Linked DNA regions of Nothobranchius furzeri. The protein of the gene in region 1 interacts with the protein of each later gene in a biochemical or structural test. Links are inferred from orthologs where the notes say so. Each region holds a gene or a part of one and is shown in the gene's direction. Other genes may lie near its edges.

Region 1 (4,227 bases):
GACCATTTATATCAAACTCTGCGTCTTTGATCAAAAATCAGGGATAGGGTGGAGAAGGCGCACCGCCGCCATTACAGTTTAGGAACCGCTCAGACTAAAGTCAAAGAACTCCTTCTTTCAAAGAGCCAACACACAATTAATATGTACTCACTGTCGTTTAATGTGTTAGGGATATAATCGTTTAAGACTGGTGTTGAAGAGAAGCCACTGATGTCCTTTACAGATCATCATCAGAACAAAAGGCCACGAGGCTCAGCTTCTATAAAATGGCGGCTTCAAGAAAGCTCTGCAGCTACGGCACACAGTCCGTCGACAACACCAAGTATGGCCAACCTATAATAAAACTACCCAAAACCAAACTATTAATCTTACGGCCTGATATCCTTTGATAAGTTTAGCACTCACCTCTTTAGACATTTTGCCGCTTTATCCTTGACGACTCCTTGAGAACCGACCGCAGAGGAACTAGCTGCGTCAGACAAGACCAGCGACAGGGTGAACGTACAAGAAATAGGAACGGAAACGCCTCTTCCCCTCAGCGATTGGTCTGTAGTTCCCGCGGTACTGTGTCGTCAATCAGAACTGTATTTTGATTGGTCTAAATTTTGTCAATCAATGCGAACAACCATTCACTGCGTAGTAGGCATTCGCCTTTGTCGACCATGAAGAAAAATGGCCGACCTAAATTACATAAAGCCAAAAATGAATGTGCCTTCATCTATAAACAAATTATCTGAATTGACAGAGAAATTGAATGCTCACATTTAAAAGGTGCTGAAAAAACGACTTATTAACTTTTTTCTACGAAACGAGCCTAAGAAAGACAATAAACAATATAAAAGATAGACAAATTGCCGTCTGGCTAAACAACACGGGAAATATCATTCGCATGTTGGTACACAAGATGTCCCGTAATCAAACAAACCGATGCAAAATGTACAACTCTTGAAGAGTTTATGCTAAAGTATAATTTAAAATGAGCCAAATTAGTTAATCTGGGCTTTGTGTGTGGTGACTAAAGGGGGAAAATAACATGAACATAGAGAAATAAATAAATGCAGCAAGATTTAAACGAAAAATATATGAAAACATAAATTACTACAACAAAGTAGACGTATATATATTAATTTCTTTATTTTCAGTCAAATAATTGTAACCCTTTATGCTGTGTTTTTTTTTATTTTGTATTATCGTGTATACTTATTTTGTAAATTATTGTGACTGCAAGTTACTACAATTTTATAAACCGAACGTTAACGTTATAGAAAAGTTAAAATTTAGTAGGAAGGAACGTGTTTTCTAAACATTTATTATGTCACCAGCAGACTGGGGGCGGGTATGTTCATTGTGCGTTTTTAACGCGCGCTTTTTGCGCACGGCACCTTTATGTGCTACAGGCTAGATGCTAACGCTGGTGCTGCATTAGCTGCACTGCTGCCTCTAGATAAACGGAGCAGTCCCTGCGACCAGCGGCCTACATCCAGTGGGTTATACACTCCGAGGGTAAGAAACTGCGTTTTTGTAAATGTGCTTTACGCTGTTGCAAGTATCGGGTAGTTGTTTGATAAGTAAATTAGCGAGTATAGCATAGCTTTAGCACGTAAGCTAGCTCCTTTGGCTAGTTTGGGGTTAGTTAGCAGGACAAATCCCTTGGTCTTCATTGAACTGTGTGCTTTGTTCGTTTTCTGTGAGTGCAGTCTGGTCGCATATAACTATTTCAAACGGGCATATGTCGAGAAATGCACATGTATGGCCATTATATTAGCAGTTTTCCCATGCTTATCGTTCTGCTAGTGGGAAGAACGAGATTAAATGAAGATATTCATTGATGCACGGTAACCACGTTGTGTGGCTAACGCTCATGGTTGCAAACCTGCAGCTTGAGCTTAAATTTATGTGTTTACATGTGGACGAGCGCTGAGAAAAAATGGCATGTTTTGTGAGATGCTTGTTTGTGATTTCGTCGTGAACAGGAAAGTGCCATCGAACTCTAAAAGAGTGTAGTGTGAAGCACCCAACTCCGAGATGGGCAAAAAGTCACGTGAAGAGGAGTCCTCATCTGATGAAGAAGAGTATGTTGTGGAGAAGGTGCTGGACAGGAGGGTGGTGAAAGGCAGGGTGGAGTTCTTCCTTAAGTGGAAAGGATACTCTGAGTAAGTACCAAGTACCTGTTTACTGGTCAGTGACTTGATATTCCCGTTTTACACACACACACACACACACACACACACACACACACACACACACACACACACACACACACACACACACAGCACAAAAAGCATCAGTGAAGCTGGTTTGAGCACACAATATTACCCTTTTAAAAATGAACGTGACATTTCAATGACTTGTGCTGTGATTTTCTGCAGCAAGCACAACACATGGGAGCCAGAGAAGAATCTAGACTGCCCTGAGCTTATTTCAGAGTTCATGAAGACCTATAAGAAAAGCAGCAGCAGCGGTGGTAGTTCGACACCTAGCAGCGGGGCCAGTAAATCAAGCACAGGCTCATCTGGACGCACTAAAGATCCCAGCAGCTTAAAAAAGAAGGGCTCTGATGAAGAGGAGGAAGAAGAGGAAGGAGGAAGTAAGCCAAAGAAGAAGAAAGAGGTAAATTATCTTCATTATAGGTGAATTTCATTGACTACGTTTACATGCAGCCAATATCCGGGTTATGATCGGGTTAAGGTCGGTATTCGGGTTTCTGAGTTGATCAGAATAACCCGTTTACAAGCCCGTTTACAATAAATAGAAAGAGTTACCCCTAACTTGCATAACCCGATTTAAATGCGGACGGTGGGGTAGCGTCAAGACATATGGACTACGTCCAGACGCAATATGCCTCATTTCCGGTTCTTCTTGTTCCGGTATCCGTGAAAACAACAACACGTTTCCCAGTTCGGAAGAGACGGCGACCGCGTTTGTTTGTGCTTTAGTTTCTTCGTCACTGCGAAAGTGTGGTGCTGTGCCGCGACTCGCCATGTTGCTCCCAACTTGTTGTTTACTTCCGGTGTTCTGGCGCATACAAGACGTCTCGCTACTCAAAAGACCAAGATTCCTTGCGAACAGAGCATGTGCAGAACACACGCTTTGATGGGGATATCCCGGTATGCGTTTACACGACCAAACATTCGGGTTAGAAAAGGGTTACGCCAGGTGTAGTAACCGGGTTTTTAAAAACCCGGTTATGAGCATATCCAGGTTTTTGGCGGTGTTTACAAGGACCTGCGGAACCGGGTTATTGTGAATATTCGGGTTTTAAAAGGGTTACTGGCTGCATGTAAACGCACTCATTCTGATATGAATCATTTGTATGCGTGGGAGCATTTGTACTTAGCTCTTCTGAACTGATTTCTGTAAAGACTGTTTATATTTTAGCTAAATGTTGTAAAATGTATAATTTTGAGATGAAAATGATAAATTGTTTTTTTGAATTACCAATAATGCATTAACTTATGGGCAGGTGATGGGCAACACCTATACTTATTAAATAATATAAGTTATATCTAGATTTGACCTGTGTTTAGAATTGCTGAATTTATGGCCAATGAAATAGCCCTTTGGCAAATATTCAGCTGGCATTTTTAATTTTTTATTTTTTATTTTTTTACATTTCAGGATGAGATCCTAGTTGCACGTGGCTTTGAGAGGGGCCTAGAGCCAGAGAAGATCATTGGGGCAACCGACTCGTGTGGAGACCTCATGTTTCTAATGAAGTGGTAAGTTTTACTGGTAGACTCATTTTGGGAGATCTTCATTCTGTTATAATGACAATGCACTTACTTTTATGCACTTTGGTAATCATAATGCACCCATTTCGTAGTAAAACAAAATTTTCCTCAGACATAAACATTAGAAGCTAACCTAGCACAGGGGGGACTAACAGGCCTTTGTAGAGCTTGGTGACCTGCTGAACAGGTAATTCAACCATTCAGGTGTATTGCAGCAGTGAGATGACTAAAACATGCTGGGTATGGGGATCTCAGACACACTTGATCTAAGAGGACTACTATTCATTCTCGTATGACAAAGAAATATGCTTAAGTATTATAAAGTACTTACATTTTCAACTATTAAATGTCTAAAACAGAACTGGTTAAACGGTGCAGAATTGTTGCACCAGAGCACAGCACGATGTCCTATCATGAGCTTAAATGTCTAACAACCTGAATCTTTAACACCACATTACTACTGGCAAATCATTCATTAGCTAATCGCTGTTCCGTC
Region 2 (4,080 bases), on another chromosome or scaffold:
CTGGCTCTTCACATCTCCTATCACAAAGAGATAGCGGCGTATCAGAGCTAAAGACCCGGTCTCGGCTACGTGTGTCTGAGCCTGTAGGTCTTCATTAGGTCATGATCTCATTCCGTGTTCAAGGGCTTTCTCTCATCATGTTGCTCCAGCCCATCAAACACCAGGTTCTGTTCCCCTTCAGACAGAACCACGCACAGGCATCTCTGGTTTCAGACTGGGTTTGTGTGGACAGATGCCATAATCTATGTTTCTAACCCCAACAGAAGTACCAGCCAGACGCTGTGTCTTCTCTGACATGACTGCACTTTAAGACAGAAACTCGCAGAGCAATCCAGCATCGTGCCTGTCACGGGCAGCATGGCTCCATCACCAAAGGATTCAAGCCAGCAGCCTCCCGTCGAGCGTCATCACTAGCAAAGTCTCCTCTTTTACTTCTGTCAGGAGATATGGAAACAGGTGTGGTGGGCGGCAGGTGAGGGGTTCTCTGTGTGAAGCCAGGTAGTTTGTGCCTTGTTCCCAACATGCATTTAACACGTGCTATCAGAGTAATAACACTTTGTTGTCATATGCAGGTTTTAATTTGTCTTCATTTTTTATCGCCGTCGTGTGGTTTTAAAGACTTTTAGTACCGTTTATAAACATGTTTTTATTTGAATGTAGGGGACATCTCTGATTGGTGGAGCTGTTTCAGCTCACAGGTTCGATCCAGCTGAGGTCATCCTTCTTTTCTATTTGGAAGTCCAAGTGGGTGCAGTGTTTTAGATGTAAAACAGACTGTTTGTGTTCAGCAGCTTAGTTTTATTTTTAATCCAGAGTCAATCTAGTTTTGTCTGTGAAAGTTGGTTCTGCTACGCCTCATCAAGATGGTGGGAACCCCTCCATACAGCCAGGTGCGTGCTGATGGATGGGGGGTGCCTCTTACATAGCAGTTAGTTGGGTTTTTAGTCATCTACATTGTACCATACTGGTCTTGTGTTAATGTCTTTTCTTACACGCTAGCATACTGAGCAAATACAATAAAAGTTGCAATACACGATGTGTTTGTTTTATATAAATGACCCTGGATGTAAATAATCATTACATTTTTATTTTTCACATGAAACTGCAGATGTTTGTGCAGCTTCGCTGGCACAAACATCTGCAGGAGCAGAAGCAGCCTGAGCTGCAGACAGGAAACAGGGAGACGCTGCGGTTTGATTTTACAGCAGCTCTCTGGTTCAAACATATACAAGACACTGTCCTCTACTCAGCATCTGGACCAGAGAGGAGGGTTGGGTCTGGTGAGAGACAAGTACGATGGAACTTGGAATAAAACTTAAAAATCATAAACATTTAATAACCCAGTCGGAGAAAAGGAAGGAATAACTAGCAGGAAGTATAGAAAGATCGTTTTGCTGAAGCTGAAGACGCTGCAGGCAGAAACAACCATTTTGTTAAACTAATATGAGTCCAGTAAACAAAGGTGGTCGTGAGTCTCCAAGTCCAAACCAATCCTGACTCTTTTAAAATCCACCAGTAGCCAATCAGAGCTCAGAGCCGTTTGAAATGAACGCTGATCCAACCAATCAGAAGGCTTCGCGCCTTCCTGGTCACTGGTGAGTTCGCCCAGAGAGGGAGGGAGAACCGAGTTGTATATCAAACGTTAGCAAAGTTCTTTTTAAAAATATAGAACTCTTAATTTATTATTTCATCGTCCTGTGAATGATTGTTCATCGCTTTATCTCTGGACATATTGGCGCAAAACCAGGTAAGTGCGACCACGTCTACTGTATTAGCGTTGTTACCAAACAGCAAGTTGTTCAACTCTTTGTTGAAAGGTTAGCTGGTGCTAACCTGACGGCGGCCAGGGCTCGGGCTAATTCCTGGACTCGCAACAGATTTTCTTATCAGAAATAGAAGTGATAATATAATAACGACGGTTTATGTGTGTGTTAAAAACTTCGTTAAATTGATTATGTTTTTAAAAGTCTCAACCAAGCGCACTTTCACGTTAGCGACACTGAACGGGCCATTTGCCCACTATGAGGTTAACGTACGCATCTGTACAGTGTGCATTAAATAGACGGTGCGCGTACACACCTCTTAAGACTGTTAAAACGTATAGTAATAAGAAACAAGAGGGTTTGGTAGTAACCTGCGCTCAGCGCGCGGGTAATCCGCATACGGAAGCGTTTAGGAGCCGGTGTCGCTGGAGTTGGGAGTTTCAGACAGGATTTGAACACATGACGTTTTCCCTCCTTTCATTTGTGTTGCTTGTGGCAGCGTCAGGTTCCTTCGAAGGCCACTTGGCTAACGGAGAGCGCATCCCGTTAAAGACACAGCTCCCGGGTACCGTTAGGTTTTATTGTGATGCGTCAGGTTCCTGTTCAGCATGGAGGGAGTGCTGGTGTAGTGGTGCGGGCTGTTTCAGCTCACTGAAACTACTCAGCACGTCGTTTGGTCCGTCGCTGAGCGCGGGTTTGATGACACATTAAAAGATGGAGCTGTGTGCGGCGGTAAAGTGGCAAAGCTGCGAGGCGCAACGCGTTCGCAGATTTGCCACTTTTCTTTTCAAAATAAAAGCCCATCTCAGAAACGTATTTTGTGACAAATTATTCTAAATAAAAACAGGAAATACTTATGGAATTCCAAAGTTACCAAATCGTAGTTATATCGCCATTTTAACAAGGGATGGACTATGTATTGGCATCAATATCGGTATCGGCCGATGTTAGTCATTTTTTTAACATCAGTATCGGTCTGATAAATAAAACCAGCCTGATATTAACAACCGATATTTTTCCCATCTTGTCTCAATTTGTTTACCTGTTTCAGAGGGTGAGGGGGTGATGTGTATTTGTTTAGTCATGTGACAGTGATTGTAATCATCTCAGAAGCATAAATGTGTGTGGGATGTGTACATAATATAAATTCAGCTTTAATGGTTTTCATTCTATACAAAATATGCTGATTTTAGAAGCATTAATGTCAGCGTATCGGTATTGGCAAATATCGGTTATCTGCCCTAACAGTGATCTTAATATTGGTATCGGCCCAAAATTTCATATCGGTGCATCACTAATTTTAAAGGGACTCTAATGGGCCATTCCCATCTGTACCGGGTCGGCCCGGGCCGGGTAGTGTAGGTTGTTTACATATCTGGGTGGCCTGGTATTTTTCCGGGCCAACCAAGGCTCATTCTCAGCCCTCTTCTGGAGGGGGTCTGCTTCAGGCCGACCAGGGCCAACACACCCACTGCTGACAGCAAATGCACACCTTCTATTAGAGCAAGCCTCTGATTGGTGGGTAGAATCAGCCCACATGGGCTTAAGGCAAGGATGTGTGGAATCAACCGGGCCAGGCTGGGGCCGACTGAGGCTACCCGGCCCGGGCCGACCCGGTACAGATGGGAATGGCCCATAAGAAAGTTTGAAGTTTTTATGCTCGCAGTCGCCACCCAATTACCCAATCCTATTACACACACACACATAGCAGAGGTGGCTGGGAAACAGTAGGCATGAGCAAAAGCACTCGTAGAAAATTCTCGCCTGACGTGAACAGAGCAGTGGGCAGCACGCGAATTTCGTGAATGATCCACTTCGCGACACACAGCTGATGTGATCCTGGCGTCATGCCATTACTGAGTTGTAGTCATTTTAATTAGCAATTTTACACGTAAATAAATCTCAAATTATGTGACAGATGTAGTCGAAACACTTCATTTAAATTGAAGTACAACGCGTGTGATTGAGGGCGTAAAGGTAAGAAGACCAGAACCTTGTTCAGGGACCCACGAGCCGACCGGAAGGGGAGTAGACTCGGGTTCCTTATTAGAGACCGCTGCAAATGTCTAGGTCAGGGGTGTCAAAAATGCGGCCCGTGGGCCAAATCCGGCCCGCAAGCAGGTTAAATCCGGCCCGCGAGATGGTTGTGTAAACTTTATTTTGATACTTTACAATGTAGAGTAAAAATGAACTTATCAGTGTGAGCAAGTTTTCTCTGTAATGAGTATAAATAAAACAAAGCTGCGCTCAAGGCTCACACAAGAACTTGAATCCCATCCTGAAGTTCACCGCCACTCAGGATGTGACTTCTGATGTT
Region 3 (3,650 bases), on another chromosome or scaffold:
CTAGTCGCTGTCACGTGATAATGACCGGCAAGATGCAGCCCTCGGAAAAGACAGCAGCCTGCTGTCAGCAGGTGACAAGCTCCTGCGCTCGGGGGGGGGGGGGGGGGGCAACGCGCTCTGCCAGACCGTAGGTACTGACACGCGATCGTTCATGTCGGTTCATTTCCTTTAATGTTTTCTGTCTTTTATTTGCGCCTGATGTGTTTCGCTGCTGTGGAGCGGGGCGCATCACCTTGTCCTCCAACGCACCGATCACTGATGCGGCCACCAAGCAGCGAGCACTCCGCTGTTTTTGCGGTCGGTAGATCTTTTAGAATTGCAGTTCAAAGGTAACTCATGAGGTGAATATAAATGAACCCAGGTAGCAGTTTCTCTTTAGGATGGAGAGGAGATGCAGGAAGATAATAAACAGACAGGACAGAAAAATAGTCAAATAAAAACAAGTTAGTTTTTGTACCTGGTGGTTGCAACAAACAGACACCATTGAAGGTAATCAGAAGTGAGGAACAGAAAATGAAATAATTATTTTAATGTTTAGAGCAGCAGGAACTCTGAAAGGCTGCAGGCGCATCAGTGAGTTTGCGGCCGCTATGCAGGGGGAGGGGGGAGAGAGTGCTGAAGCAGAAACTACCGTTGTTAAAAGAAATGTGTTTAACTTAGAAAATGTGGGCGCAATATTAATTGTCAAAAACTCCAGCGAACCATTAGTTCATTTTGCTCAAATAGAAATAGAGGCCTGCCTCTAATACTGGCCCTCCTTCCAATAAAGGCCTGGAGCTTGATGAGCTTGAGTCGAATACAGGCCCAGGCCTGTATTAGAGGATTTACGGTAAACCAAATTAATTTCCTCCGTTAGTCCACAAGTCTTGCATCTACAAACCAACATATCATATTCCTTCGAATGCGTCTTTTTAGTGGAAGTGTCCGCCCTGGAACTGGGAGATCAGGGTTCAAATCCCGGTCAGGTCCTACCAAAGACTTTATAAATGGGACCCAATGCCTCCCTGCTTGACACTCGGCTTTAAGGGTGTCGGATTGGGGGGTTTAAACCACCAAGTGGTTCCTGAGAGCAGCTGCAGCTCGCCGCTGCCCTCGGGCATGGGTCAGATGTGAAGATGAATTTCACCGGTGTGTGAGGACTAATGGGACTTTAACCTTCTCTAACAGTTTTTATCAAAAGCTGCGAATGCTCATTGTAGCTTCAAACGTTTACAGCAATGACCCTGGTGTGTACGCTTTTAATCAACAACTCCACTGATGCAGCTGGTGAAGAGTTGCCCCATTTGTTGGGGTAAAACCTCTAACAGTAGGTCAACAGTGCCACACCCAATTCTCACATAACTCCAAAAGTGCTCCCCACGTCTGGTCCTCAGAGCCCACCCATGTTTTCCACGTCTCTGCTTCAGCACACCTGATTTTAGTTTTCAAACTATAAACTCTGAAAATGTCAGTAGAAACACACAAACGTGTTGCTCGGATTGAAGTTACACGCCACTACTATCTTCTGGTGTAAAGTAGTAACTTTATGAGGGATTATATTTGCAGTTGTGGCTCAATAAACGCAATATTGAAACTTTGGCGCTTAAAGGGTTGATTTTACAGTCCGCCGCAGGTCTTTCAGTTATACGGCTGTACATTTATACTTTATTATTTAAAGTACACAAGTGCGGTCAAGTGAAACATTTTAATGCATCTTGTGCCTTGTTGTTATGTCGGTGCTAAATAAATATATCCATGGTTTGGTAACTGATTAATTACAATGCCTTGCTTTTAGTGAGGTTTAGTACACCTCTTAGCCAATGTTATGGTTCTAATTCTTGACTTAATCATTTGTTTCTGTATTTCGGTATTTGGCCGTGGTTTCCTCACTTTGGGTTTTGGTGTTTTCATTTCGGTGCATCCCTAAATGAGAGCAGACAGCACAGTGGGCCCTGAGGACCTGGACTGGACAACTCTGCTGTATAATGTTGATTGGTGCATCAGATATCCAATGAAATCCACTGTGAACAATGAGTACAAACGTGATTGGTGGATTGCTGCGTGCCAGCTACCCGTCACCGTTAGATGAGAACGCGTTGAGGACCAGCGATCGCGCTCTCCTACATTCCAGTGTTGATGCTCAAACGTAACCTTGTGCAGCTCTAACTTTGTCTTCAGCAAATGTAAACGTTTTAATATCAGCCATGTGAAAATCTAATTTCATCTTCGTCTTTTGACCAGAATTCTGCTGAGGCGTCTCATCAAGAACAACGCTGTTTATGAGAAGCGCTCCTCCTACAGGCGCTGTTGCTGGTACGTTCATGCGGAGGTCCTGTCCCGTTTCGGCCAGGAGGCTCTCCCAGTTCCGTGCCAGTGGACCTACCACACCACAGGAGCTCGGGAGGAGTTTCGTGATGAAGCCCAGGCAGCCACGGGCTCTCAGGGAAACTCCCCCTCCACACCTCAGACCTCTTCTTCCTCCAACAAGCGGAAGAGCGCCGGCAGCATGTCGATCACAAAATTCATGAAGAAATGTTCCAATCCTGACCAGGTGAGGGTTTTTGAGCGGGTGAGTCACCTTCAGGTGGGTTTTCATTCACTGACTTTATTCCTGTTGTTTGAATCCAGACTGAAGCGACGGAGGCAGACAGTTTTCAGGCTGACACTGAGGAGGATGATGATGAATGTGTCATCGTCTCGGCTCACACTGGTGAGATACCTTAAGGAAATCGTTCTTGCTAACTTAACATGAATGTTGCCTTCCATGATATAATTTTTTTTTACTTGACATTTTAGACTCTAAAAATAAAAATGCAACTGTTGCCATTGACAATCTAATGGAGGCAACCCCCTTGGATTCAGCTGCTCTCCCCGAGGGTGGATCTGCTCCGACTCTCCCCACAGCCTGAGGACAGGACCGCACCGCACCGTGCTCGCTCCTCCTCACCTCCTCATCCCTTTTAAAACCTTAAGGAAAATCGAGGCACGCTGCATGTAAAGACAAGTGTTCAGCTCTATATTTTAAGTTCTACCGTACCACTCGCCTCGTGTTCTAAGGTATAGATCACTTGTTTTTGGATAAAAGCAGAGCAAAAATGATTTCTCATAACAATTCAAAACATCAGGAACACCATCATTTTACAGTTTTTGAGAATTATTAACAAACCCACTGGTTTTCTTTTGATTTAATGTAAATAGTTCATCACACCTCGATGCTGGGAAACAGGCTCCATGTCCACCTGTACATTCGTCCCTGGTTTCATTTACTCTGCCGTGTCTGACAGCTCACTGGGGTAGTTGAGAGATCTGTTCTTGTACAGTTAGTGTTGGTGTTTTATAAATATGTATTTTCTGTATTTTTCAAGATTACTTGAACAAGATAAATTCATTAAACGTGAATAAAAATTCTGCACCTTTAAGGCTCCTTTCATGGTTTAACCCTCTGGAGGCAGGCGTTGCAGATGTGCAACAGTTAAAACCTACCTACCTGGTTACTCCACACACGTGTTTCATGAACATTTTTAACTCAGAAGAACCGCTGAAGGACTTCGTTGTTCGTTCTTTTATCAAAACTTATTTTGAGCCTGAGAGGGTTAAATCAGGTGAAGGTATTAATACAAAAACTGGCCTCATGTTTCTGTTTATTGAAGAAAATCCTCAGTGGGGAGTAT

Evidence for each region.
Region 2: the proteins of cbx5 (region 1) and lbr form a complex in vitro, tested with the Homo sapiens proteins (2 studies listed by BioGRID, with this or other methods). The link is inferred for Nothobranchius furzeri from reciprocal best matches to the Homo sapiens genes CBX5 and LBR.
Region 3: the proteins of cbx5 (region 1) and chaf1a form a complex in vitro, tested with the Homo sapiens proteins (2 studies listed by BioGRID). The link is inferred for Nothobranchius furzeri from reciprocal best matches to the Homo sapiens genes CBX5 and CHAF1A.

What each region holds. Positions count from the first base shown.
Region 1 is NC_091755.1:25,772,257-25,776,483, forward strand, and holds the start of cbx5 (chromobox protein homolog 5), read left to right. Parts: upstream 1-1,365; 5' UTR 1,366-1,503; intron 1,504-1,973; 5' UTR 1,974-2,025; coding exon 2,026-2,153; intron 2,154-2,369; coding exon 2,370-2,610; intron 2,611-3,618; coding exon 3,619-3,719; intron 3,720-4,227. Other genes in the region: heterogeneous nuclear ribonucleoprotein A1, read right to left, coding at 406-417. UniProt on the Homo sapiens protein: Component of heterochromatin that recognizes and binds histone H3 tails methylated at 'Lys-9' (H3K9me), leading to epigenetic repression. In contrast, it is excluded from chromatin when 'Tyr-41' of histone H3 is phosphorylated (H3Y41ph).
Region 2 is NC_091742.1:28,052,377-28,056,456, reverse strand, and holds the start of lbr (delta(14)-sterol reductase LBR), read left to right. Parts: upstream 1-1,263; 5' UTR 1,264-1,747; intron 1,748-4,080. UniProt on the Homo sapiens protein: Catalyzes the reduction of the C14-unsaturated bond of lanosterol, as part of the metabolic pathway leading to cholesterol biosynthesis.
Region 3 is NC_091748.1:48,277,693-48,281,342, reverse strand, and holds the end of chaf1a (chromatin assembly factor 1 subunit A), read left to right. Parts: intron 1-2,220; coding exon 2,221-2,530; intron 2,531-2,607; coding exon 2,608-2,689; intron 2,690-2,775; coding exon 2,776-2,888; 3' UTR 2,889-3,398; downstream 3,399-3,650. UniProt on the Homo sapiens protein: Acts as a component of the histone chaperone complex chromatin assembly factor 1 (CAF-1), which assembles histone octamers onto DNA during replication and repair.